4 linked regions of the Caenorhabditis elegans genome follow. The protein of the gene in region 1 interacts with the protein of each later gene in a pairwise test. Each region holds a gene or a part of one and is shown in the gene's direction. Other genes may lie near its edges.

Region 1 (7,956 bases):
GTGAACCTAGGGGGTGAGACCGGATTTGAACTCGTGACCTCCAGATTGCTATCCGCCGGACAGAGCAAAACGCAACTATTTTGCAACTCGACTTATTGGGATTAAACTTACTTGAGTATGCTGAATTGTACGGCGGAAAACTGGAAGTTCCGGAAGCTTTTCACTTGGCAAGACAAATGATCGATTTGCTTCACACAATACATGATAGGGGGATCGTTCACTGTGATATAAAACCAGCAAATTTTGCATTTGGTCTCAATGAAAAAAAGAATCAGCTTAATGTATGTTACTTCTACCTTAAATGTTTTGTGAACTCATGATTATTTGAACAATTTGACACATATAGTCAATATAACTATACCTTTAGCTCATCGACTTTGGATTAGCAGAATCGTTTCTTGATGATAGAGGAAATCACCGAGAGGTACATAATCGCCATTATCGAAAAGGAACTTATGTTTACATGAGTGCCAATCAGCACCATGAACAATGTTTTGGTAAGAGTTTTTTGTTTGCTTTTGTATCAGCACTTCTGATTGAGAATTCAGCTTTTTCAAAAAAAATTCTATTAACAATACCAAGACGAAAGGTTAAACCAAATATTTTTTGTTCGAACTATCTAATTACAGGAAATACCCGAAGAGATGACATGGAGTCCTTGGTTTATTCTTTGAGGAAAATACTTGACCTCACTATGTGCTGGAAAGAAGGACGGAGTGTGAACAATGATGATACTCATAGAAACTATTTCAACTTGAAACAAGGCAATCAAAAAAGTTGTTCACTTTGTGGAATACAGCCGATTAACGATATGCTTCAATCGTGCCGCATGCTCGAATTCAAAGATGAACCCAATTATGAAGCAGTGAAGCAGCTGTTTGTCTTGGATAAAGCTATGTCAAAAGCGTTGAAAAATAAGTTAGTTTAATATGTTTTTAAAGATAAAAAAATCAGATTTCATCAAAAAATTTAAAATTGCATGTAAATAAAATTTTCACTGCCATTTTCAGAAAGCATGTTCCACCAAAAGCTACATTCGACATTTCTTTGGACGAGGATCAACAGGTTTCAATTTGATTTAATTTCGAAAAACAATGATAATTTTATATTTTAGAAGTTGATCGACAAATTCAATATCTACTTCAACGAAGAAGACTATGATGCAATGTGAAACTTCTTTAACCACCTCCTTTGCAGTTTAACAATTGTCAGTTAATCTAGAATAAATTTTTTAAACATGTTTTATAAATGTTACTAATGAAAACAATTATGGGTTTTTAAAGTACATACTTTGTGTAGTCTTGGGTGTCAAAATATTAATCTCCCTACAACTTTCTAAATTTTGCCATAAAAGTTTTTTATGGAGCACATCTGTTGCATTATCTGTTGCTAAATTTACTTATCTTGCACTTTGAGGATTTTTTTAAAATTAATGAGTAATAATGGCAATCACAACTTAAACCAAATGTCAATTGTACTCGAAACGTGTGAACGTGAGTTTTCTTTTTTTGTAGACTTTTCTATTTGTGAAAGGAGGGCGCCCAATTTAATTAGTACCACATTTAGGATGCAAAAATTGTAAATTTAAAGAAGGTTTGTAGAAAAATACGTAAGATTTTTGAATCTTGTCACTCAAATTACACATACAAGTTTATCATCCTCACCACATAGCCCTATTTAAGTTCTGCTAAATTTATTGGGTTGATTCTTCGACAATTGCCCAACATTGTCGATCACCAACAAACAATGCAAATACGCTCCAACTCACACCGATAGGGAGAGGGGTGTGAATGCGCGCGAAACAGCAAGTGAACGGTCTCTCCGTTTACCACACTCTCTTACCTCGTTTTGTCATCTAACGCGCTCTCTCGCCACTCGCCTTGCGCGTCAGCCGGCCAGTTATTCTTTCCTTCTTTTCACATCGTTTTTTTTCATATTTCAAGCTATTTTTTGTCAATTTTCAACTTATTCAGTTTAGAAATGCCTCGCCGAAACTCAACAAAAAGTGCTGCACAACCGTCCGAAGAAACGCCAGCCGGAGAAGAGGTAAAACTGTTTAGGCTTTGAAAATTTCCGCAATTTTTAGTCTGTAGACACCGATAATGACGCCATTGAAAAATTCTCTCTCAATTTAAAGTTGCGAAGCATTATGAGAGAATTGTGAAAACAAAAAAAAACAGATGAAGCTAAAAATGCAACACAAAATAAAATTCAGAAACCTCTGCCGATGTGTCCTGAGGAATCTGCAAAGGACACCACTGTACAATCGTCCAGACCACGGCGAAATATTCGCAAAAACACTCTATACGACAACGAGAACTATGAGCTTGTGAATTCAGCGCCTGCTGCACCTCCCGAACGGACTCCATCAGTTTCAAGAACTCCAAATAGGACCAGTGCTGTTTCAGAGGTATCTACTGGAACCGATAAAAACTCAACTGCTATGATGCCTGATATGCTGAAAGGAGCGAAAAGAAGAAAGATTCCTCCTCATGTTGCTGAAATGATGGAGACACCAGTTGCACATAGGGCGAACTCAAATCAAGTGAGAAACACAGAAAACCTTTGTTCTTAAATAATCCTTTTTTCTTAATTACAGACTCCAAAATTCGATGATCAGTTGATGACTGATGGAGCCAACCTGGAAGTTGCAATGGAATTTGAGGTTCCTCACAATGACGAAGGACCTCCAGTGCTCGGGCCATCTACTGTTTTTGAAACTGAACCTGAAAGTTACAGGGAAAGCGACGAAGACTATAGTGTTAATGACTTTGCTCACCCTCCAGATCTTGAAAGGCACCCGTACGTAAATCCATTATGTAATGACAAAACTTTAATTTTTTTTACAGATTGAGCAAGCGAAGAGGACGTCCACGTCGACCACAAGAGCAGCTGGAGACCAATGTTAAATTGAAACTGACCCGTCCAGCTTCAAAAGCTCAGCGAGCCCCACCAACTGAGCCAGTTGCTGCTAGAACCGCCACTGCTAATCAAAGGCATATTAAGCTATTTGAGGAAGAGTTGGATACAACCCCCGGCGGAGAGTCCTATGCAACCGTGGTGAATGGGTGCCTGACTGAGCTGCTGAGAAAGGAGCGGATTATTGATCTCCTCACAAACCCGGACGAAATTGAGTTGATGTAAGTGAAAAATGACAACTGTTGCAATGCGATATCAATAATCTAAGCACATTATAAATTTTCAGAAAGCAAGCAGGATGGTTTCTTCCAAGACCACCACGTCTTCCTCCACTTGTCACCGACAAAGTATGCTTCGCATTCTACGTGGATGGTAGTCAGCAGAAAAATGCTAAAGATCTCTCCAACGATGACCTCCGTCCGTGGAGTGTGACAAATGATCATCAGAACACGACTGGCGGCCCAAACACAATCAAGCCAAATGTTCGAAGACACCCGGTGGCTCGACTCAATGGCGAGCTGAAGACAGTCAAGCATGAGACACGTCTCGCTGAGTATCACTTAACGGAGTACAGCGCTAGATTACCTCGGGAGCAGAGACTGAGAAAAAAGGTAGCTAAACTGAAGATATTTGAACACAACATTGATTTTCTTTCCAGATTTTCTACCTGACCCGTGACAATCAAATCTTTGGAAATGTGCTTATTCTGTATGATTATGTGAATCCAGGAAATGCCCCAATCCCAGTATGCCTTCCTCATGGCAATGATCATCTGCGAAGAGCAGTCACAGATGATCAAGATGGATTTGACAATGATTTGCCGGTTTGTAATTATATAATTGGTTACCTCATTTATAATTTTATGCTTTCAGTTTGAGCCGCAACGCATAGAAGGAACCCGTGGAGCTGGAGTCTACCTCAGGTTGCGTCCGAACAAATTGGGATGGGCTCAGAACAAGAAAAACTTGCTGGATTATTTATTCAATAAAGTTGACATTCTGGATGAACTTGGCGCTCTAAACAATCGCCTCCCAGATCTTCCGCCACTGATTGAGACGGTCGGAGTCTTTGCATATTTTGTTCCGGCCTGTCATGTTGTCAACCAAATTCACCACGCTGCTGATGGCTTATCTCCATGGACCACTAATCGTGAGTTGCTGTTTGCGAAGCACCAATATGCGGTCGTTTAACCGTTTTAATTTTGATAAATTTCAGCAGGCGCTGGCGAAGGAACACCGACAGTGCGTGTGCGGTCAACAAAGAAGAACTTGATATTGGACGAAGCTCACAATCACTTTATGGTATCAAGAGACCAGAAAACTCCATCCGACTATATTCTCGTAGAGACAATGTCGACACTTGCCAGATGCAAAAGAGTGAGAAAGAGGGTAAGTTAACCAACAGTCCGCAAGTACCACGACGCACATTTGCGTACTTAAGTTTGCGTACTTAAATTTGCGTACTTAAATTTTGCGTCGTAAATCTACACCACACGCTGTGCAATATTTAACAAAATGAAAGGGCATACACCACCTGGGGTTGTTGCTGCTAAATTATCAGACCGTTGACGGAACTGAAATTATAGTGCAGTAGTCATAAATAATGTCATAAAAAATATTGTACATTGCAATTCTTCAATCATTTCAGGTTTTCTATATCCAACAAGCCGGCGCTGTTATTCATGGAAATGTCTGCTACACGTATGAGTTTGTTTACGACGGTCCGTTGCCAACCTTCTACCCACCATTGGACGCGAAGAGTTACAGTAGATGGTCAGGAGGATCACCACTGAAAAAGCCGGTCAATTCAATGGACATGCACTCTCACATGATGGTAGAGCAGGATTCATATGATATGATTCCTGTTGACGATGACGGAATCGTTGATGTCGTTGACGTTCACAAGGAAATGCTCGTTCAGCAGGAGGATGATCAGATGGAGAACCTTCTAACGTATCCCGATACGCTGAACAACGGATTTGATCCAGAATTCAATGATGATCCGATTGATAAAGCCGAGAATCCGAATGCATACTATGATGAGCCCCGTGTTTTGTCAACGGGTCACGTATACTTGACTGTTCGTCATAAAAAGTTGGTTACCGTCATGGATCATGTTCTCGAATGGATTGCAAATTCGAACATTGTGTAAGTTCTTGAAAATGTAATCAGTTTGATTTTCAACTATTTTCAAATATTTCAGTGAGGAGCGTGGTGTCCTGAACGACACGAAACCGTCTCACCCACCATTGGTCACCAACTCTAGGGCCTACGCCTTTTTTGTAGCCGGTACTGCCATATTCCCCCATGACATTAATCGCGACGACTTCTCACCATGGTCTCGCAACGGAACGCCTGATCAGCCGACCTGCTATCGTACAAAAGTTCGAAAGCTTGGAGTGATTTGCGATCCTCAAAATTCAACGTTTTTGGTATGGAATATTTACTGGCACTATTGTTTTAAACGTAAACTGTTTTTAAGCTGAAAGAAAATACCAACTACAAAACTTGTCCATTCCATCTCGTCTACTTGTATTCGATTAATCCAAAGGAGCCTAGACTGCGAAAAAAGGTGTTTTAAACAATGTTATTTGATTTTTATAAACTAATAATTTGGTTTTCAGATCTACTACCTGATGGAAACCCAATCAAAAATGGTTGTCAGTCATGCATTGATTATGTACGACTACAACCATGAAGGCAACATCCCACGTCTCAACGCTGGCCAATACAAGCCACTCACTAAGAGGAGTTACGCTAGAACCGTATGTTTCTAACATCATAAGATTTTGACTTAATAACAATACAATAATTACAGAATCATATGCAGCATGATTTGATGAATGATGTCTCGGAAGGCGAAGAGAGCAGAGATTGCCCATTCATATTGCCTGCAGAGACTGCTGCTGATGGGACGTTTTACCTACAGCTCGATGACTTGGAATTCTGGAATGACCGGAACCGACAGATTCAGTACTTGGTCAATCAATCTGATTTGGTGTAAGTTGATTGAAAGAAAAATAGAAAAGCTAAGCTTAAAAAAAGTAATTTCAGTGAACAACTCGGATGCCTCAACACAAAAGTTCCCGATCTTCCACCATCGATAACTGGAAAAGGAACATTTGTCTTTTTTGTGAACGGAGAAGAAGTCAACTTTAGATCATTGACCACAGATAAACTGACTCCGTGGTCAGAAAACACTTGCTCTAATCCTCGTAAGTCTTATGAATTTTTTACAAAAATTTTCATAGACGTGTTGAGTAACTTCCCGCAAGCTCCATTAGTTTCAGATGGAATAACCAAAAGGCCGAAATCATCAAAAACTCCGCTCGGATTCAATCGTCACAATCAACTGCGAGTCTGCAAGGGGAATGCTCTGGCCGTGGATCCGATTGAATTCCAGTTGCACATTTACACTGCAACATTGCCCCGCTGCACACGGCTTCGCAAAAAAGTTGTCTATGTGCAACGAGACGGAAACCAGTATGGACACGGTTTGATCATGTACAGCTACACTGAGCCCGGAGCTGTGCCACAGCCAATTCAGAAGACTATTCAACCTTCGACTGATGAATGGTTCAGCAGCCTTCCATCAAACATCAGAGAGGATGTGTTCCATTTGCTGAAAACTGCCCCAGTAAATGAAACAGCGAAGATAATTCATCAGGAACATGGAATTCATATTAGTCCAAATATGTTGTTCAGTCTCAAACGGCGAGAACTTTCTGGTTCTCATGCTGACAACGACACTTTTGTCACTGAATGGACCGGAGCTGATGGTGCAGGACCATCGACATCGGCTAAAACTGAGACTGTGGAAGAGGTGGTGATTGAAGAGCAAATTCCAAAAACAATCATGGGTCACGAAATGATGATTGGAGGAGACATGATTGTCGAGCACATTGAAGAAGTTGGAGACGTCTATGGGCAATCAATGATGAGAAGAAATCCATTTTTGGAGAAAAGCGTGGTTAGTGTTTGTATAATTGATTCGTTTTTTAAATTCTCAATTTTCAGACTACTGCTGGATTTGTTCGTGGATCTCAGCGATATGATGCTCTTTGGCGAATTGCGCAAAAACAGTTTGGTTCGGAGTGCATTGATGACACTTTTGACAGCTTGTTCCGACTATTATACGAAAAGAACGAGCAGCGCTTGCTCCAAATGATCAATGAGACATTCCACGTGGACATTTTCTCTGGCGACCAAGAGATTGTGGAGGAAGGTGTCGAATACATGCAAGAAGAACTTGTTGTGCATCCTGGTAATCATCTTGTCGGACACGAGGAACTGGGAAGACACGAGGAACACATTGAACATCCTGAAGTACAAGGCCATTTGGAACATGAAGTTATTGAAGCCCCAGAAGATCCTATGGTTTAAAATTATGATTAACTGGAACAGACATTGTTCGAAAAATCATATAACTGTAAATTAAATTGATCTTATAATATTGTTTTACCCTTTAAAATCCGTGTTATGTCATATCTATCTATTATTCCGTTTTACACCAAATGTTTTTTGCCACTATAGAATGACAAGGTGATCTTTTTTCTGTTCTCAGCAAATTGAAAATCAAACATAATACACTGACACAGATGAAGTTATAATAATGCATAGTAGTTTAAAAAAAGGTATTCGGCTGAATATCTGAATAACAACATTTTAATGTAAGGTGCAAAGCATGGATGTGCGGCAAATTTGCCAAACACGGTAAATTTCAAAAAAGTAGATTTGCCAAATTTTCCAAGCTCCGTAATTTTTTATGTTTGCCCCAGCTGCAAAGGAGCATACAACCCCCATGAAAACCAGTTATTGGTCTGTATTTTCACCCGAAACAGAAACATCTGAAAGGTAAAATTTGGTTAAGCAAATCCCTAATGTTTCAAGTCCGTTACTACAAACAACTCTGTGACCTAGATTCCAGGTTCTGTAAAAAATTTCAAACACGTCACTTTATGTGCAGGGTACTCACCGGTCTTCAATGATAGCCATTTATTTCAAAGAAATTGAAAAAAAGTCAAAAATTAAATCAAAT
Region 2 (4,818 bases), 3.3 Mb from region 1:
TTTTTCTATTTCTCATCCATCCAAAGTGAGGGAGAAAAAGAGAGAAAAAGAGTGAAAGAGTGCTTTTCTGTGCACACATATCACTTGGTCTGTTAGTGTCATGGGACCCCGGGGCATTTCCTCCTGTTTATCGTTTTCTCTGGGTTCAAACGAGAAAGGATCTTTCGGAATTGTCAAGGCTCAAGCATCTCTTCTGAGCCAATGAGTGTTTTTTCTCTTTATCACAAATGTCTTTTACTTTTTACACGCTTTTTACAAGATTTGAATGATTTGTTTCCGAAGAGATAGAGAAAATAAAGATATTAATCATGAAAACTTGTTAATAGAGTACCGTAATTGGTGAGGTTTAGCTTATTTGAGTGCAGAAAAATTTAAATCTTGAAGTTTTCTTGGCGAAAAATTAAAAAAAAAACAGCAGAACTGTGAAATAAATATTTGCAGCTACCAGATACATCTATTTTAGTCATTTGAATTATTGAGAAAAACAGACTACATAAATGAACTACAGTATACAACTTGAATTAAAAAAGGAGTTTTTGACTGAAAAATAACCATTTTCTAGCTTTAATAGACATAGTTTTTGGCTTTGATTTTTTGTTAACGAAAGCAACTAGAAAACATTCAAATTTCAAATGTATTTAGTCATTTTCTGCATATCAAAACTATTTTTTTAAACCTGATGCTCCAAGTGTTTAGTTAAATTTATATGTAATAAATAATTTTGTTTTCCATTAATATCAGTTTTGATAAAACTAAAGTAATACAGTAGTTATCCACCACAATTTGGTGCCCTGATTGTCCTCTTAATATTTTAATTGTACGAAATTTTGCCATCAACCAACCACACTCACTTTTTTTGGTAACTTTTCTTCCCATTTCTCTACTTCTCTTGCATTTTGTTATTTCACAATAGTCCACTCTATCTTCTTTTTCCAATGTCCCTCTCAAATCATTCGCGCCCTGTTTAGCACCCATAGAGTCATTGATCACTTGGCCAACAGCCGGTCTCCCGGTAATGATAACGGGAAAAGTCAATGAACATTGAGTGAGAAAAAGAAAGAAAGAGAGAGAAAAGGACAGAGAGCAGCAAATGTGTATGTCACACACTCTTTTAGTCTCATAGAATACTAATCGATCACAATCACAAGTTACAAAGAAGTGTTGAACATTTTCAAGAGCTGCAAATCTGTGATAAGGTGACGAAGAATTGAGGTGACGTACTCTTTTCCCGTTTTTTTAAATTGTGATAGTGTGAGTGAAAAGATTGCGCGAGTAATGGGTAACCGTTTCGAAGACTGAACTGCATTCATGAGAGCCTCCAATCTGTTGCAGGAGTCAAAGTGAGGCAATTTGCGTCTTGATTTGATATGAATAGAAAAAGAATGAACGACAATATATTGTCTTCTGTTTTGATTAATGATTTATTTCAAGACATTGTATACAGTCTTAAAAACATTTGGCAACGGTTTTAGTAATTGTTATTTTTATTCCCCTTCATTCATTGTAATGAAACATATTAGAGAAATCAGTATGAATCAAATCAGAACGACGTTTGAATTGATAGGAATGAAGAAAAAACGTGACCACTCTTCCCCGAATCATTAAAAGTGAACCTTGTACCCAGTTTGCTGTAGACAAGTAACTTTCATGCTAATTATGGTCTCATGTGAACGTCACATGGTTCCAATCACTTTCTCATTATTTTTTGTAATACGTCTTCATCTCTCATTTTCCCCCTTATCTCACTTTGTTTTACGATGAACTTAACTTACATGAATCAAACTTAAAAAGTGGTTTTAGAATTGGCGAATGAGCCATCAGGCAATTGGAATCTCGAACAACTTTCAGCAGGTACAACGTGAGCAGCTAAATCATCAACGATTATTACAAGCACAGCTCCAGACTAATGGACCTGGAAGTGTTTCTCAGCAGCAGCAGGCTTCGCAGCAACAACAGCAAGTGCAGCACGTCCAGCAGCAACAACAGTCGCAGCAGCAACAGCAACAAGTTGCTTCACAACAAAACCAGCCGCAATTGCAAATGAATGCTCAGATACTGCAAGCTTTGTCAACACCACAAGGACAAAATTTAGTTAACATGCTTTTGATGCAACAGGCACTTAATGCGCAACAGACTGATACTCAGAATCCACAACAAATTATGCAACATCAATTAGCTCAACAGCAGGCACAACAAGCTCAGCAAGCTCAACAAGCGCAACAAGCTCGACAACAGGCAGAACAACAAGCTCAAGCCCAAGCTCGTCATCAAGCTGAGCAGCAGGCTCAGCAACAGGCACAGCAACAGGCGCAGGCACGGCAACAAGAACAACAAGCTCAATTAGCAGCTATTCAACAGCAAGTCACGCCACAGGTTTGTGTTTAGTACAAAATTGATAATTCGAAACTTTGATTTTTATTTTAAGCAATTTGCTCAAATATTGCACATGCAACAGCAGCTTCAACAACAGCAGTTTCAACAACAACAGCTCCAGCAGCAACAACTTCAGCAGCAGCAACTGCAACAGCAACAACTTCAACAACAACAGCTCCAGCAGCAACAGTTACAACAGGTTCTACAGGTGAGTTGACACAGAAATAGCATGTTGATAACTTGAAATTGGCGTTATTTTATTTTTTTTTTCTTCAGATCTCACAAGCCCAACAACAAGCTCAACAAGCTCAGCATGTCCAGTCTAGACAAATGCAGCCGTCCCAACAGAGCCAGGTACAGGCGCAACTCCAGCAGCAACAGCAATTGCAGCAGCAACAAGCTCAGCAGCTTTCACAGCAGCAGGCGCAGCAGCAACAACAATTACAACAGTTACAACTGCAGCAATTTCTTCAACAACAGCAACAGCTTCATCAGCAACGTGCGGCTGCCCAACAAGCTCAGGCTCAGAACAATGCTTCACAACAACGCCCGTCGGTTGCATCGACGCCTGCATTGTCTTCAACTCCACAGTTGAATGATCTTACACAGACAATGCAAGCCCAGCTTCAACAGCAACTGCTTCTCCAACAGCAACAGGCTCAGGCTCAACAAGCTCAACAAGCTCAGCAAGCACAACTAGCTCAACAGGCTCAACAGCAACAGCAAGGGCAGTCTCAAAATAGAACAGTTTCTCAAGCACTGCAATATATTCAGTCTATGCAACTGCAGCAAAGAGCCGATGGAACCCCAAACGGTACGTTTAAATTTTGTATTTTTCTCTGTTTTCATTTTCTCACGTTCACACGCTTCACAACTCTGTGTCTGTTTCCCTTCTCTGTTTTCCCAGTTTCTCCCTTCCCGTTTTCCATCGTTTCCCTTTTTTGCCAGTCCACATACGTTCAACCACACAACCACACCACAACTCTTTGAAAATTATCCGATATACGTATATGACATCAAAAATATCATAGAACATTTTGTTTCCATTTGTTTTTTTTTGAAATATGCATGCAAATAGATAGTGTGTAAACCAACAATAATTAGAAAGTGATAAAGAATGAGATTTTTGTAACCATTACTTCAGCTTTTCTCCTGAATCATCTTCTTCTCTTTTTCTGTGCACCACCTTCTAACCATTGGTTGTTCAAACACGCTTACCCAATATTTTTCCCCTTCAGCAGAGTCACAAGAAGAGAGGTTGGCTCAAATGCTGAACGAACAACAGCAGCGGATGCTGCAAAATCAGGCGCGCGAGGCACAACATCGTCAGTTGCTCATTTCTTCGACGCCTGCTCCTCGAGGTGGTATCACCATGGGAACTCCAATTGGTATTGCAAGGAGAGAAGAGCAGCCGGTACCGTCTACGGTGGCGGTAACGACGGCACCGGCTGCAGTCCGCACGCCTGTTGCTGTGCCACCTATGAAACAAAATTCTAACCCTTCCATGAATCCATCATCCACATCTACGTCTGCATCTGCCACAAGCAGTCATCAGATTTTAGCCCCCTCGCTCTCCAAACCACTTGAGCAGCCTTCCTCGTCGAAGGCCGCATCGTCTGGCAACGAGTCGATGTCGGACCACATCAGCCGAATCATCTCTGAGAACGAAGTCATTCTTCAAGGAGACCCGGTGAGTGCCGAATTCTTCTAGCGTGATGGGTTTTCTTTTTTTGAATAATTCGCCCCCTGGAGTTTGATGAAATGATACGGAAACAATACCAGACCAAAATAAAACAAAACCTTTCATGTTTTTATTCATAATTTCAAATCTCATTTGTCCTTCTGTTTGACGTCTTCGAATCTGTCCATTTACAGGTGATTCGCAAAAAGCGGCCATACCATCGGCAAATAGGTGCGCAATCCTCGGTCGATCACGACAGTAATAGTGGTGGTGAGTTGTGGTGTGGTTGAGTTTCTTGAAAGCATCGCTCCATTACCCTTGTCCTTCTATCCCAAGACAAGATATTGTCTCCTTCTATTACTCGCCCCAACGTTTCCGCTATACCGTCTCGATTTGCATGCCAGTGCGTGTCTGCACGTGTCCATATCTGCATATTATATATTGATGAATATTGTGATTGTCCCGTTTGTCCCTTAATGTTTTATATTTTTCAGGATCAACAAGAACTTCGCCTGGGCCAAAAGACAGTCGTATGTTGCAAGCTGCTAGTCGGAGCCAGAGTTTATTCGAGCTTAGTGGATCAAAACATTTCATGGGCAGCTTGACTAGTGGTCAGCCATTGCTTCGTCCGATTCAGGCACATAATGATCCTAACTACACACCGGAGTGTATATACTGCAAACTCACGTTTCCCAATGAAGCTGGTCTCCAAGCTCACGAAGTTGTTTGCGGAAAGAAAAAAGAGCTAGAAAAAGCACAAATAG
Region 3 (7,600 bases), on another chromosome or scaffold:
TTAAGTTTTTCATAATTTTCCCCGATTTTCTGATAAAACTCCGAATTTTTTCCCTTAAAAAAGTGGATTTTCGTATTTTTAGGCAGTTTTTTTCATAATTTTTTGAAAAAAAGAGGAATTTCTCGTATTTTGGCTAAAAAAATGACGAATTTTTTTTGATTTTCCTGAAATTTCATTGATTTTTTTTGAATTTCTCGTCGGATTTTCCACAGGTTTTTTAAATTTTTTAAAGGATTTTTCAGTTGATTTTCTGAGATTTTTTCACTAAATTGAGAATTTTCGTTCGATTTCCTGGAAATTTTTTTGACATTTTTCAAATTATTTACTGATTTTCTTGCCTCTTATTACGGGTTTTCACCGATTTTTAGCGAAAAAATCTACCGATTTTATCGATTTCGTATCTCTCGGATTTTCTTGAATTTTTGCAGCGATTTTTAGTATTTTCGGTGAAAAAAATGTGGATTTTCTAAATTTTGCGATTTTTTTTTAATTTTCGGATTTTTAGGCTGTTTTTTTTTGTTTTTTTTTTCTAATTAATTTATCCAATTTTCAGCTGGAACTCGATCGTTATGTGCCTCCGCGTGCTCGTACCGATGGCTCTCCTCGCCTGGTACTTTACCAACGAACATCCGAACGCGCTCCGTTGGAAGAATCCGGCAATGCCGAAGCAGTATTCATACGATTTCTACCGTGCCTACCCGTTCGACGATCCACGCAAATACCCAATTGTCAACTATTCGTTTGATTTGGAATAGAAAATTCCTTAGTTTCGGTTGTTTTTTTTTTGGTAGTTTTCTCCGTTTTCTCCTTTTTTGTACTATAAAATATTCGAATTTTATCATTTTTTTTTTTGCCTTTTTTTTGCCCTTTTTTCAGCGTTTTTAACGCTTTTATACCTATTAATTCGTTTTTTTTGTTGCTTAAAATTGCGCCTAATTGAAAAAAAAATTCCTAAATTTTATATGATTTTTTGAAAATTGAAAAAGTCTCAGTTTTCACCCCTAATTCCTATTTGAATTACCGCTAATTGGATTTGTTCGATGGAGCGCGCTTGCACGTTTTTAAGTTTATTTATTTTATTTTTTGTTATTTTCCACCGATTTTCAATTTTTTTTAGTTTTCGGTGTATTTTTACATGAATTTTAGAGAAAAAGTCAAAATAAATGCTAAATTTCGATTAAAAAGCACGCTTACAGGCGTAAAAATGACAAAATTAATTAATTTCACTGATTTCGGTCTGTACGCATGGTTTTTATTCGAAAATTTGCATTTATTTCGACTTTTTCTCTAAAATTCAAGCAAAAATACACCGAAAACATTAAAAATCGGTGGAAAATAACAAAAAATAAATAAATTTAGAAACGTGCAAGCGCGGCGCTCCAACGAACGAGTTCAATTGGCGGAAATTCAAATAGGAATTAGGGGTAAAAACTGAGATTTTTTCAATTTTCAAAAAATCATATAAAATTTAGAAATTTTTTTTTGAATTTGGCGTGTTTTAAAGCAATTTTCCCACTGGCGCTACGCTACTCCACTTTTAATTAATTAATTATTTGGAAAAAAAATTCAGAACTCGGCGCTGGACGCCCCCGCACAAAATGCTCTTCCTCGATGATTTTTTAGAAAGTAAGTGGTTTTTTTTGTTGCAAACTTTTCCCCTATAAAAACACCCAAATTTTCAACGTTTTCCAGTGCTCGATGAGCTGCCTGCCGAGCTGAAGGAGAGAAGCGATGAAATTCGGCGAATCGACAATGAAGTTGAATGTAAAATTTCGAAATTTTTCTGAATTTTTCCCTTCATTTTTTCGAATTTTTAGCCCGTCTAAACCGTAATCGAGAGGCGATCAACGATTTTTTCGAGAGAACCGGCGTAAATATGCCCGAGGAGCAGAGAAAGGAGCGCTGCAAGGTTTTGCAGGAGGTGAATTTCATGAAAATTCCTGGAACTCGAATTTGGCAGCAAATTGACACGAAAACGCAGGAAAAAGTTGATTTTTGCCACAAAAACGGCTAAAATTCGTGAAAAATGAGAAATTTCGCTATAAAACCCGTTTTTCTAGCTTTTTCGTGAAGAAAAATGAGAAAAAATGGGATTTTTTTGTACTTTGCCTGATGTCATTTTTTCACTTTTTAAGCTTTTTTTTCCCACAAAACACCAAAAGTGCTCAAAAATACTCAAAGTGAATGACGTCTAAAAACACTAAAATGAGGTCGAAAAACTCAAAAAGTTGCTCAAGATCCGACCAAGTTGTAACCTTTTCGGAAAAAAACCTAAAATTAGAATTTTGTCGTTTTTGATCGTTTTTTGAAGCTTTTTCTTCACAAAAATAGCTTAAAAACGCAAAAATTAGCCCAAAACGCTTATAAATCTCAAAATGCATCCAATTTTTCAAAATTTTCCGCTAAAAATAAAGGAAATACCGAAATTTTCAAAAAATGAGCATTTTTCCGCGAAAAAATCCCAAAATTCCGCTAATTTTTCAGAATTTCTCGGAAAAAAACGGTCGAAAAAATTCCTTTTTTCACTGAAAATCTTTTTTAAAAAACAGGACAAAAAATCGCAAAATTCAGACAATTTTTCGGAATTTCTTGTTAAAAAGTGAAAAAAAAGCTGAAAATTTAGCTTTTTTCACGAAAAAAAATTGAAAATTCAACTAATTTTTGGGAAAAAACATTTACATTTGCATTTTCTAATTTTTTTTTCGTGGTTTTCTAAAAAAAACTTTCAAAATCTCAAAATACAACCAATTTTGCCGAAATTCTTGGAAAAAAACCCTAAATTTGCATTTTCTATTAATTTTAAAAGCTTTCTCCCCCAAAACTACCTTATAATCCCAAAAAATCAGCCAATTTTTCTAATTTCTCTTTAAAAAAAAAGCTGAAAAATTAGCTTTTAAAAAAAAAAAAAGCTTAAAAATCCCAAAATGCCAATTTTCCAGATTTTCTCGCGTTGAAAGTGAAGGAAATGCCGAAATTATAAAAAAAAATTAGCTGTTTTCACAACAAAAAAAAAGTCGAAACCCCCGAAAAATCATAAAATCAACCAATTTTTCAGAATTTCTCTTTAAAAAGTAAAAAAAAGCTCAAAAATTTGCTTTTTTTTTTCAATAAAAATTTTAGAATTCAACCATTTTTTCAAAATTTCTCGTTAAAACGTTGAATAAGCTCAAAAAAAAGTTTTTATCACAAAAATAGCTGAAAAATGGCAAAATTTCTCTTAAAAAATGAAAAAAAAAGTTCAAAAATTTGCTTTTTCACAAAAAAAAAATTGAAAAAACCCAAAAAATTGCAACCAATTTTCTTCAGGAATTCTCCACAATCCGCGTGCTAGCTCAACGCAAATATCTAATCGCCGAAAAAATGCAAGAACTCCTCAAAAAGTACAAAGTTCACTTGGAAAAGGAGAAAACCACGTTCCAGTGTGAAATGGAGGCCGACAATTCAGGAGTGACCGAAATGATCGAAAAACGATATACCCAACACGTCGAATCTCTGCTCACAGCGAGAAAAGAACGAAAACGTCGTCATCGCGTGGGCGGTGGTGGTGGTGGTGGAGGATCGTCGTCGAGAGCATCGACAGTCGCTTCGGGACCACTTTTATCGAAAGAATCAAAGGACAAAATTCAGCGGATCCTTCAGGAAGGTGTTCGTCTTCGAATGGATCTTTCCGATGAGTCGGCACAATCGGCACTATCATCGGCTATACCATCACCAGCGCCACGTGGGCGCCCGCCAAAGATCGCAAAGGATCAGCTGTTGCTGTCGTCGGCGGCGATGGTGGTGGCCAGTGATGATTGTCTGACGCCAGTGCCACCAACACCGACGGCTAGGGTGAGGAGCTAGCTGAAAATTCGAGAAAATTCGCAAAATTTGGAGCCCACCTACCACGGCCTCCTGTTCAAAGAACTGGCGAAATTTCGAATTTTAGCTAAATTTTGAATTTTCAAATAATATTTTTCAAACATTTTTGAATTTCAGCCTAAAATCCGCAAAATTTGATCGTACAAAAACCTCACAAAATTGATAAAATTTTCCCGTTTTTTGGGTGTTGTTACAAGAAAAATTTGACGAAATTTCGAGTTTTAGCGTAATTCGTCTCTTTTCAACTATTTTTTTAGCCTAACCGCCACATTTTTTAATAAAATTTACGAAAATTGGCCGTTTTTGGGTCATTTTGGACCGTTTTCAGCTAAAAATTAACTTTTTGTTTCGAATTTTCAAAATTAAACGAAATTTGGCTCTTTACTGACTAATTTTTAAGCCAAACCGCCATGATTTTCTGGAAAATCAGCCTATTTACAGGAGGACTAACGGTTTATTGACCCAAATTTTGTGCTCAAATGAACGAATTTCGTAATGAAACTGCTCGAAAATGTATTTATGGCGGTTCAAAATTTCGAAAATGACACTGATTTTAGCTAAAATCTCGAATTTTGGTCATTTTTCCGTGTCACAGCTGTAGGAAGTTGGTTTTTTTTGGAATTATCATCCTTCATTGCATATTTTGGTAGTTTATCTCATTTAATTTCATTGATTATGGTAAATTTAAAGCCAATAGGTAACCAAAAATCATTAAAATTGGTCGCCTATAGGCTTTAAACAGACCTTAATAAACGAAATTAAATGAGATATTAAAACCAATATATGCAATCAAGAATGATATTTCCAAAAAAAGCCAACTTCGGACAGCCGAGACACGGAAAAATGACCAAAATTCGAGATTTTAACTCAAATCAGTGTAAGTTTTCGAAATTTTGAAGCGCCATAAAACATTTTTGAAGAATTTTTGAGCAATTTCAGTATGAAATTCGTTCATTTGAGCACAAAATTTGGGTCTATACGTTCCAAATCGTCCGAACCGTTAAATAGGCTGATTTTTCAGCCTAACCGCCATTATTTTCACGAAAATCAGTCGTTTTTGGAGTGAAAAAACTAAAAATTCTCTAATTTCTCCAAATTTCAGCGCCGCTCAAACACAAATGCTCTCCGCGGCACAGTCTCCATTCCAAGTGCTCTTTCATCAATGATGAATCGTGGTGAATCGACATCCCGCTTCTCACCGAATCCCTCCGAACGTAGTTGGTCAAACGCCGGAATCGACGAATCATCACCGACGCCGACGACAAGCCTACTGATGACACCGACGTTCTCCTCAGGACCGCATATCGTCGTTTCGCCGACGACTCCAGTTCTCCAGAATTCGGCGTTTGTGGTGTCTGAGAGCCGTCATGGTAGAACTCGGAAGCTGACCAGTAGAGTTCAGGAGATGTTTAAGGAGACTCTACAGCGGCAGCGGAATCATGGAAATTCAATTATAGCACTACAGGAGAGAATGAGTGCGGCGAATCTGGCGGCGGCGGCTCAGCACGCTCACGCTCCGACGAGCTCTTCACCACAATCACCACTTCCGGAGATTGAAGGAGCCGCCGAGGATGATGATGAGGAAGGACCGAGTTATCGGATTAAGCGGAGCCATCCGATGATGGCTCCGGGATCGGAGGATGAGGAGGATGAGATGCATTGGTGTTTTTGTAATGAGAAGAGCTATGGAGATATGGTTCAGTGTGATAATCGTCATGTTAGTGTGGGCTTTTTTAATGAAGGGAAAAATTGAATTTTTCTCCGAAAATTGAGCGAAAAATTCAAATTCCCAGCAGAAATAGTGCGAAAAAAAAATTAGATTTTTTTTTGTTGTTTTTTATTACCAAAAATTGATTAAAAAATGTGAATTTTCATCAGAAATAATGCAGAAAATTACTGTTTTTTTTTCTTCGAATAGTGCGAAAAATTGAGTTTCCATCCATTCAAAAAATCAAAAAATTTGGATTTTCACACGAGAAAACAGTGCGAAAAATATATAATTTCTACCTGAAAATTGCAAAATCATGTTGCTATATTTGCGGTGAAAATTCACTTTTTTGGTTAGTCAAAGATTATCAAAGATCTTATTAAAAAAAAAAAAAAAAATTTCCATTCAAAAAATCGAAAATTGAGCGAAAAATTCAAATTTCCAGCACAAAATCAATAATTCGTAATTTTTGATGAAAATTCATATTTTTTCATGGAAAATTGTACAAAAAATTCAAATTTCCACCAAAAATTGAGTTTAAAAAGTGAAATCAGAAATAATGCACCGAAAATTAAATTTTTGTTTCAAAAATAGTACGAAAAAAGTTAATTTTTAACCGAAAATTATTTTTTTTTTAATTTGAATTTCTACCACAACAAAATGCTTAAAAATTGTTAAATAGAGTGTTTCCTTGGAAAAAATCACAAAAATGAAGTTTTCACCAAAAAATTGCGAAAAATATATAATAATTTCTACCAGAAAATGCAAAATTTTGCTTTTTTTTACATTTTTATCGAAAAATTTCACGAACATTCAGAAAAATTGAATTTTCACCAAAAAATTGGAAAAAGTTGCAATTTATATTATTTTTAGGCTAAAATCAACAAAATTTCTGCGTTTTCAACGGTTTTACCAAAAAATGTGTTACAAAAATTCGAAATAGTTGAGCGAAAAAATTAATTTCCACCTAAAAATTGCAAAACTTTGCTATATTTTTGGTGAAAATTCGATTTTTTGTTGGTATTATTATCAAAAAATTTTACAAAAAAAATAGAATTTTCATTTTAAAAAAATCCCGAAAAATTAAAATTTCATCAGAAAAATATTTTTAAAAATTGATTTTCCACAAAAACATGCTCTTGAATTACAAAAGCAACTGAAATAATACGAAAAATTTAGATTTCGAAAATTAAATTGAATTTCCACTGTAAGTATTTCAAAAATTAGAAAAATTAAATGGAAACAAACACAAAAAAACATAAAACACGAAAACATGATTTTTAAAAAATTGTTTAAAATAATTACAATGTGGAAATTTCATTTTTCGCACTGTTTTCGGTGAAAACTCAGTTTTTTTCCACAAATATTACAAATTACATCCATCCATCTGAAATTTACACCAAAAACCTTTAAAACAAAATACAGAAAGTCTGAAAATTTCAACAAAAAATTCTAATATCTAAATTTAAAAAACATTTCTACCAAAAATCTGATAAACTGAATTTTCATCGAGACCATCACCACCAAAAAACTAATTTTTGACCAAATTGAGTGCGAAAAATCGAATTTCCATCAAAAATATTATAAAACATTTTGTTTTCTTCGAAAAGTAATGCAAAAAAGTAAATTTCCGCCACACAAATATATTTAAAAAAAGTTGAATTTTCATCAAAAACTACAAAAAATAGAATTTGCCTGGAAAATTCTAATTTTTTCGAAGAAAACAAAATGTTTTATAATATTCTTGATGGAAATTCGATTTTTCGCACTCAATTTGGTCAAAAATTAGTTTTTTGGTGATGGTCTCGATGAAAATTCAGTTTATAAGATTTTTGGTTGAAATGTAAATTTTTTATAGCACTTTTGTAGCTATATGTTTTTTAAATTTAGATTAGAATTTTTTGTTGAAATTTTGGAAAAAATTATGGGAAAATGGTAGATTTGTTTGTTTGTTTTTTTTTGTTGGAAAATAAAAAAAGTAATAAAAACCACAAAAATATCAGTAAGTTTCAACCTAGATTAAAAAAATAG
Region 4 (6,680 bases), on another chromosome or scaffold:
GGAAATTCAAATTTGACAATGAAATTTTCGAAAAATTACGAGAAAAATCGATATTTCGAAGAAATTCAATTTTTTCGGGGGCCCGATTTTTGGAGCCTGAACATTGAAATTTGGAAAGTTGTGCATTACCCCGAGAAAATCAAATTTTGAGCTAGAAGATCGGGAAAAATGGTTTAAGAGGTAAAAAATGCAGGAAAATTCGAATTTCTTGGAAATTTTACTTGAAATTTGATAATTGTGGGCGAAATAGAACGTTTTGAAGCTTTTTGTGTAGTTTTTTTTCGGTTTTCATTCAAAACTGTAAATTTTCGATCAATAATATGAATTCTACGTCTCTTTTCACTCCGGAAACCCAATTTCCAAAGCTCAGCTACCAAATCCTGAGAAGCTGTGCATTTTGTCGTAGGAGCTGCGGCGGTGTTTGCGTACTTTTGGCGCTACCGTACTCAGAGAAAATCAAAAGTTGAGCTAGAGACTCGGCAAAAAATGTGAATAGTGGGAAATTATGCGAGGATTTCGTTTTTGAAGTTGGTTTTCCAAAAAAAAAATTGATTTTTCGGAAAAAAATTTTCCAAAAAAAAAATTTTTTTTTTACAAAATATTGTTTTCCCCGCCGGGGTAACCAGAAATGAAAGCCGTAGAGGGAGAAAAATGAAGAAAGTGACCTTGAAAGTCCCTTTCTGCCATACAAAAAACGCTCCCCTAACCAGCTGCCCCCACACACACAACTTATTCCGAGGCACACGAGAGAGTACACACAATCAAAGAGACGCAGAAATGCGGCAATTTCGAGTGTTGGGGGCGATGAAGACGGCGGAGACCATTCATTTTTGCCATCTGATCACTTTTCCGATTTTTTCTAAATTTTTTTTTTTGACAAAAGTTTTATACAACTCGGTAAATAATTTTTGTACGTAGGCTTACTTTGAGGTCTTATAACTTTGGACTCAAATGAACTGTCAAATTTTAAAGTAAATTGCCTGAAAGATAAAGTTTTAACGCAAATTTTGGTAAAATTTCACCAAAATTCATTTGGTAGTTTTTGAGAAATTTAGGTTTTAATTGAGAAAATAAAAATGTTGAAAATTTTTTTTTTTAATTTTTAAATTTTTTTTTTTTGCATTTTCCAAAAGTTTAAATCAAAAATTTGATATTTTCTGAAAGAAAAATAAAAATATATTTAACGCTAATTCTGACAAAATGTCAAGCAATTTGCACAATTATTCTTTGAGATACTACAGTTTTACCGAAGAAATTTCATTTTTCAGTAAATTTTTCAAAAATTTAAAATTTAAATGGGTTTTCTGAAACTTTAGGGCAATAACACATTTTTTACAATAAAATTTTTTTAAAAAAACAATGAAAAGTACATATTTGTCAAGTTAGAAAATTTGAATTTTCACCAAAATTTTTTTTTAAACTTTTTTGAAATTTTTTTTTAATCCTTGAAAAAAATTTAAAAAGTTCAAAAAAATGTCTTTTCATCAGAAAATTTAATTTTTATTACAATTTGGTTATGTATATACTTTTATTAATATAAATTTATTGATATCCTCAACAGATATATGCTTTCAAAGGTTGAACTGGACATGGTGCATCGATCAAAAACTTGGACAGCTTATATCTCAGTTGTCATTGTTTTTATCAAAAAATCGATAACTAATAAAATGTTCATTATGAACTTCTCTATAACTTTGTAGTTGAGCACTTTTCCATATCTCCAAAATTAACAGAGATACTAGCCGTCAAAGTTAGAGTTAGACATGTTGCATCGACCTTTCCTAACTTTGACAGCCCATAACTCGGTTAATATTGAGCCAAAGGTTGTAAACTGACAAAATGTTCATCATGTTTTTCTCTATAACTTTGTTGTTTAACATTTCTCCCTACCTTTAATATTAACCGAGATATAAGCTTTTAAAATTTAATAGTACATTTTTCAGAATGTCCGACTCCCCGCAGAGCTGCAAAAAGCCGCGAACTCGGAAAGAAACTATTCAAAAGCGAGAAACACGAAGTAAGCATGAAAAACGACGAAGGGAAGAGATGAATGAAGTGATTTGTGAAATGTCGACACTTTTGCCCGAAGATATTCGGGCTCATAAGCTGCGAAGAGTGGATCAGAAGCCTCGTCAGCTGGACAAATGCTTTATCATTGGGAGTACTGTTGATATTATTCGGAATAGTGATTATAGTGAGTCTACAGATTCAAATTAGTAATAATATTCTAATTTGGAATTTTTTTTTAATTTTGAAAAAATTTGGAAAAAAATTTGAAAAAAAATTTCGAAAATTTTTTCTTTTTTTTTTGCAAATTTTTTTCCTAAATTTTCGATTTTCAAAGCTTTTTTCTTTGTTTTTTACTCTAAAACTCGGTAAAACAACTCTATTTCCTCCCGAGAAAAATATAAATTCAACCTATTACAGTAACCCTGATCCGTTTCGTGGCGGGACCCAAAATTTCAAATTACCTTCAAACCAAGGCATGTTGGGTGTCATTTTAAAGCAATCATTGAGCTAAACTCAAATTTGAAAGCCATTAAGCTGAAAATCTCGAAATTTTCGGAATTTTCAGTCAATTTCAATTTCCTCCATTTTCCAGAACCACCGCTGCTCTCCGACCCGCTCGTCCAGGATATTTTCAGCCTGACCAACTGTTTTATGGTTTTTCTGAACAATTTTATTGTCGTGGATATTAAGGGAGACCATCAGGCAGTTTTTGATATTGAAAAAGTTTGTTTTATTGATTTTTTTTCGATTTAAAAAAAAATTCAAAAAGCCATTAAATGGGCAGAGTTACAGGCCTCTGAAAATAATTGTTAGGCTTAGGTGTAGGCTTAGGCGTAGGCTTAGGCTTAGGCTTCAAACATTTTTTTGGGATTAGGCTTAGGCTCAGGCTTAGGCTTAGGCTTAGGCTTAAGCGTAGGCTTAGGCTTAGGTTTAGGATTAGGCCTAGGCTTAGGCTTGGGCTTAGGCATAGGCTTATTAGAAAAAATGGGAAAAAAAATTCTCAAAACATTTTTTTTGGAATTTAATTTTGTAAAATTTTCCAAATTTTGTCCCAGACGGGCGTGACAATCAAATGCACACTTTTTTAGTTGACAACTTTTTGCTAACCCTTAAATGGTAGCAACCTTTAAGCTTCAGTAACTCCGCCCATTTATTGGCTATCAAAAAATTTTCAACCGACAAAAGCTTCACCATGAAAAAAAATCTGCAAATTTTTTCAGTTGACAATTTTTTTCTAGCTTTTCTAGATTTGAAGATATTTGAGTTTATTTTTTTGAAAAAAAAAAATCCCAAAATTTTTTTTGTGGGATTTCATCTTTTTATAATTTTTAATTTTCCAAATTTTTTCCCATACAGGCGTCCCCAATTAAATGTTCCTTGTAAACAAAATGTCGTCATATTTTCGGGGAAATATTATCAAGGTCACTTTTTCCCAAAAAAAATTCGATTTTTTCGGACTGTGTGTCAGCTGACTTGTTTCAAGGTGAACTGGTGGTGGACCGGGGGTGGGGGGGGGGGGATTTGGTGAATCATTGGGATTTTTTCGGTTGGAAAATGTTTTATAACATTTTAGATAGTATAAAAATTTAGAAAGTTTTCGAAAAAAGTTTCAAAAAAAATTTTTTTTTTTGGACTTTTTCTGAAAAATTTTTTTTTTTTTGTTAAACTAAATTTTTTTAAAGTTAGAAATTCTAGAAATAAGTTGTAAACTAACAATTTTTGTCAAAATTTTTGCAAAAGATTTGAATTTTTCGCTAGTTGATAACTTTTTAGTAACCATTAAATGGGCGTAGCTGCTGCCTTCCGTAACTCCGCCCATTTCATGGTTATCAAAAAGTTTTCAACTAACAAAATGTTCATTTTGAAATTCTACACACTTTTTTAGTTAACAACTTTTTAATAGCTGTTTTAGTTTTTGAGATATTTAAAAAAGAAAAAAAAATTTTTTAATGAAATTTTTTTTTTCAGAAACGTATGATTGGAAAAGATATCCGATGTTTTCTGGACTACGATTCAACGTCCAAACTGTCATTTCTCACTTCCAAAGAAATGCTCAATGAGCTCCAACTCAAAAGCTTCATGGCGAAGTCAATGACGTGCAGAATAAAGGAATCGGCGGAGGTTTGGGATTAAAATGTTTTTTTCAATTCGAACAATTCGAAAAATTTAGCTTTAAAACTAATTTATTTGAATTTGGCGTGTAAATAGCTTTTGAATGACACCCATCATGCCTAGGTTCCCGCAATTTTGGGGGAATTTTCCGGGTCCCGCCACGAAAACTGGCAGGGTTACTGTAGTTTTGAATGAAACTAACTTTTTCAATTTTTTTCAAAAAAGTGTGATCACTGAGCTAACTTTGAAGAAAAAAATTAAGAAAAAATAGTGAAAACTAAGAAAGTTACAGATTTTCGAAAATTTGTGAAAAAAAATTTTTTTAAACAAAATTTTTTACCAAAAAAAACTTATTTTGTCAATTTTTTTTTAGCTGAGAATCACAATTTTACTCTCAGCAACCCAGAAAACCTGCAAAACCTGGTAAAACCAGTAAAAACAACCAAACTACAGTAACCCAGAAAGTTTTCGCGGCGGGACCCGAAATTTTAATCATTCACGGAATATAGGCATGATGGGCCTTATTTTGAAGCTCTGGACGTGCTTAATTTGAAAATGTACGAGTTTTGGCTCAAAATCGTGATTTTAACCAAAAAAATTAGTTGTTAAAAAATTGAAAAAATTTTTTTTTCCAAAATTTCAAAAATTCCTAGAAATTTTTAAAAATCAAAATTTTTCCAGAAACCCACGGAAACAGTTTTAGTCTGTGTGCCTGATGAGCTTCCAGCTCTCCCGGTTACTGTACCCAAGGCTCCGCCCATTTTAGCTTCGCCCCTTCAGAAGACACCGCCCCCGCCGTCGAGTTTGGAGGTGAAAAGCCCGATTTTGGCGGCACTTTTGAGGCGAAAAGAGGATAATTGTGTGAAAGTGGTAAGTTATTAATAAGAATTAATAGTTTGGCGGGAAATTTCAAACTTTTTGAGAAAAAAAAAATTGAAATTTTTTTTTTCGGAACTTTTTTTTCTAAAAAATTATTTAACACTATTTGTTGAATTCCAGAGCTCCCCAAGCTCCTTCCTCTCGCCGGGCTCCTCCACCTCGTCTACAGTACCCAATGTGAAACCTACAGTAACCCGCCGACCTACAGTACCCACAAAACGGAAGAGACTACGATCGATGAATGTTATAGTGGAAAGTTATCCGTTGGATGATGAGAAGTCGGATGGAAATTCACAAAAATCGGCGAAAATTGGGAAAAAGAGGTTTTTTCTAACAAAAAAAAACGTTAAAACCTACAGTAATCTACTCCAAAATCCATGCGAGACCCTTAAAACTGAAAATTTCAAATTTAGCTCAACAAGACCTTTCAAATGACCCCCATCATGCCCGGGTTCAAATTTTCACAAATTTATTCAAAAGTTGGGTCCCGTCACGTGGGGTACTGTAGCACTGGTTTCAGCTGTGTCAGTGACATAATTTCGGAGTTTTTCCGAAGCTCTAAGCGTGCGAAAGTTAAAAATGTTAATAAAATTCTTAACATGTAAGATTTTATTGATTTTTTCAAAAAAAAAAAATTTTCTAATTTTTCTGAAAAAACTTGCAAAACTATGTAAATTTTCAGCCAAACTAGCACTATTCCAACTCCGAGAAGCACTTTGAGCCCAACTACAGTAATCCATCCGTCCACGTCACTAATTCAACCGATTCCGACACTTGGAATGAACCCATTTGACATGTTATCACCTGGTTATCAAGATGTATGTGAAAATTATCGATTTTTAATGGTAAAATCAATAAATCATCGCTAAAAACTAGTTTTTATCAATAGAGCGCACTTGCAACACGGTTTTAATTCAAATTATCGACTTTTCAACTACAGCTACTATCAATTTTCCAGATTTGGCTCCGACTACAAAGTGAGCGACTTCTGCTGGAAAAACGAATTTCAGCGAAAGAAGGGGAGCTGAAAAACCTGATGCAATTCGTTCAAAACCCCCCGTTTTTGAATTTCCCCCAATATATGCTCCCGCAAGGGCCACTTGGTGCTCAAAATCAATAGTTATGGGTTTAAATGAATAAAATAAATATTTATTTACAAAATTTGATTATTATCGACGGGAATTTGTTTAAAATACTGCAAAATATACTGGGAAATTTCCGGAAAAATCATTTCGAAGTTAATTATCATTTGAAAAACCGCCGAAAACTGTGAATGCGCAAGGAGAGGTTGCTGGCGCATTTCTCTTGTTGCTTGCGCACTCTGCGATGAAATTAATTTATTTTATTTTTTCATCATTTTCGTTGGGTTTTCATCATTTTTCAGCGATTTTTTTGCAATTTTTTTCAAAATTCCCATCAAATCTATAGTTTTTCTCACAGGAAATGGACTCGGCCGACCCTCAACTCAATCGATTCCTCCAGCAACTGCAGGCGGAGACGCAGCGTCAAAAATTCACCGAACAAGTGCACACGCTCACCGGTCGCTGCTGGGATGTGTGCTTCGCCGACTACCGTCCGCCAAGCAAGATGGACGGCAAGACTCAGACCTGTATTCAGGTAAAAATTTGGGAAAATTTGGCAATTTTCTGCAATTTTATGGGAAAATTGAAGAAAAAATT

What was found.
Region 2: the proteins of F16B12.6 (region 1) and sma-9 interact in a two-hybrid assay, tested with the Caenorhabditis elegans proteins (one large-scale study listed by BioGRID).
Region 3: the proteins of F16B12.6 (region 1) and ing-3 interact in a two-hybrid assay, tested with the Caenorhabditis elegans proteins (one large-scale study listed by BioGRID).
Region 4: the proteins of F16B12.6 (region 1) and hlh-33 interact in a two-hybrid assay, tested with the Caenorhabditis elegans proteins (one large-scale study listed by BioGRID).

What each region holds. Positions count from the first base shown.
Region 1 is NC_003284.9:14,100,379-14,108,334, forward strand, and holds F16B12.6 (DUF7747 domain-containing protein), read left to right. Parts: upstream 1-1,937; 5' UTR 1,938-1,980; coding exon 1,981-2,046; intron 2,047-2,215; coding exon 2,216-2,545; intron 2,546-2,599; coding exon 2,600-2,802; intron 2,803-2,849; coding exon 2,850-3,140; intron 3,141-3,205; coding exon 3,206-3,530; intron 3,531-3,577; coding exon 3,578-3,742; intron 3,743-3,791; coding exon 3,792-4,068; intron 4,069-4,134; coding exon 4,135-4,307; intron 4,308-4,566; coding exon 4,567-5,066; intron 5,067-5,121; coding exon 5,122-5,350; intron 5,351-5,400; coding exon 5,401-5,490; intron 5,491-5,542; coding exon 5,543-5,683; intron 5,684-5,736; coding exon 5,737-5,918; intron 5,919-5,972; coding exon 5,973-6,133; intron 6,134-6,208; coding exon 6,209-6,888; intron 6,889-6,935; coding exon 6,936-7,301; 3' UTR 7,302-7,535; downstream 7,536-7,956.
Region 2 is NC_003284.9:10,771,282-10,776,099, forward strand, and holds the start of sma-9 (Transcription factor sma-9), read left to right. Parts: upstream 1-1,809; coding exon 1,810-2,373; intron 2,374-2,425; coding exon 2,426-2,581; intron 2,582-2,649; coding exon 2,650-3,187; intron 3,188-3,611; coding exon 3,612-4,063; intron 4,064-4,248; coding exon 4,249-4,324; intron 4,325-4,548; coding exon 4,549-4,818. UniProt on the Caenorhabditis elegans protein: Transcription factor, probably acting as a transcriptional activator and repressor, involved in the TGF-beta-like dbl-1 signaling pathway.
Region 3 is NC_003280.10:13,874,464-13,882,063, forward strand, and holds the start of ing-3 (Inhibitor of growth protein), read left to right. Parts: upstream 1-1,570; 5' UTR 1,571-1,598; coding exon 1,599-1,626; intron 1,627-1,692; coding exon 1,693-1,764; intron 1,765-1,817; coding exon 1,818-1,921; intron 1,922-3,306; coding exon 3,307-3,831; intron 3,832-4,963; coding exon 4,964-5,578; intron 5,579-7,600. Other genes in the region: ndub-8 (NADH dehydrogenase [ubiquinone] 1 beta subcomplex subunit 8, mitochondrial), read left to right, coding at 554-755.
Region 4 is NC_003281.10:1,853,449-1,860,128, forward strand, and holds hlh-33 (BHLH domain-containing protein), read left to right. Parts: upstream 1-1,943; 5' UTR 1,944-1,944; coding exon 1,945-2,194; intron 2,195-2,602; coding exon 2,603-2,733; intron 2,734-3,978; coding exon 3,979-4,131; intron 4,132-4,803; coding exon 4,804-4,992; intron 4,993-5,121; coding exon 5,122-5,324; intron 5,325-5,683; coding exon 5,684-5,819; intron 5,820-5,959; coding exon 5,960-6,121; 3' UTR 6,122-6,155; downstream 6,156-6,680. Other genes in the region: ddp-1 (Mitochondrial import inner membrane translocase subunit Tim8), read left to right, coding at 6,445-6,618.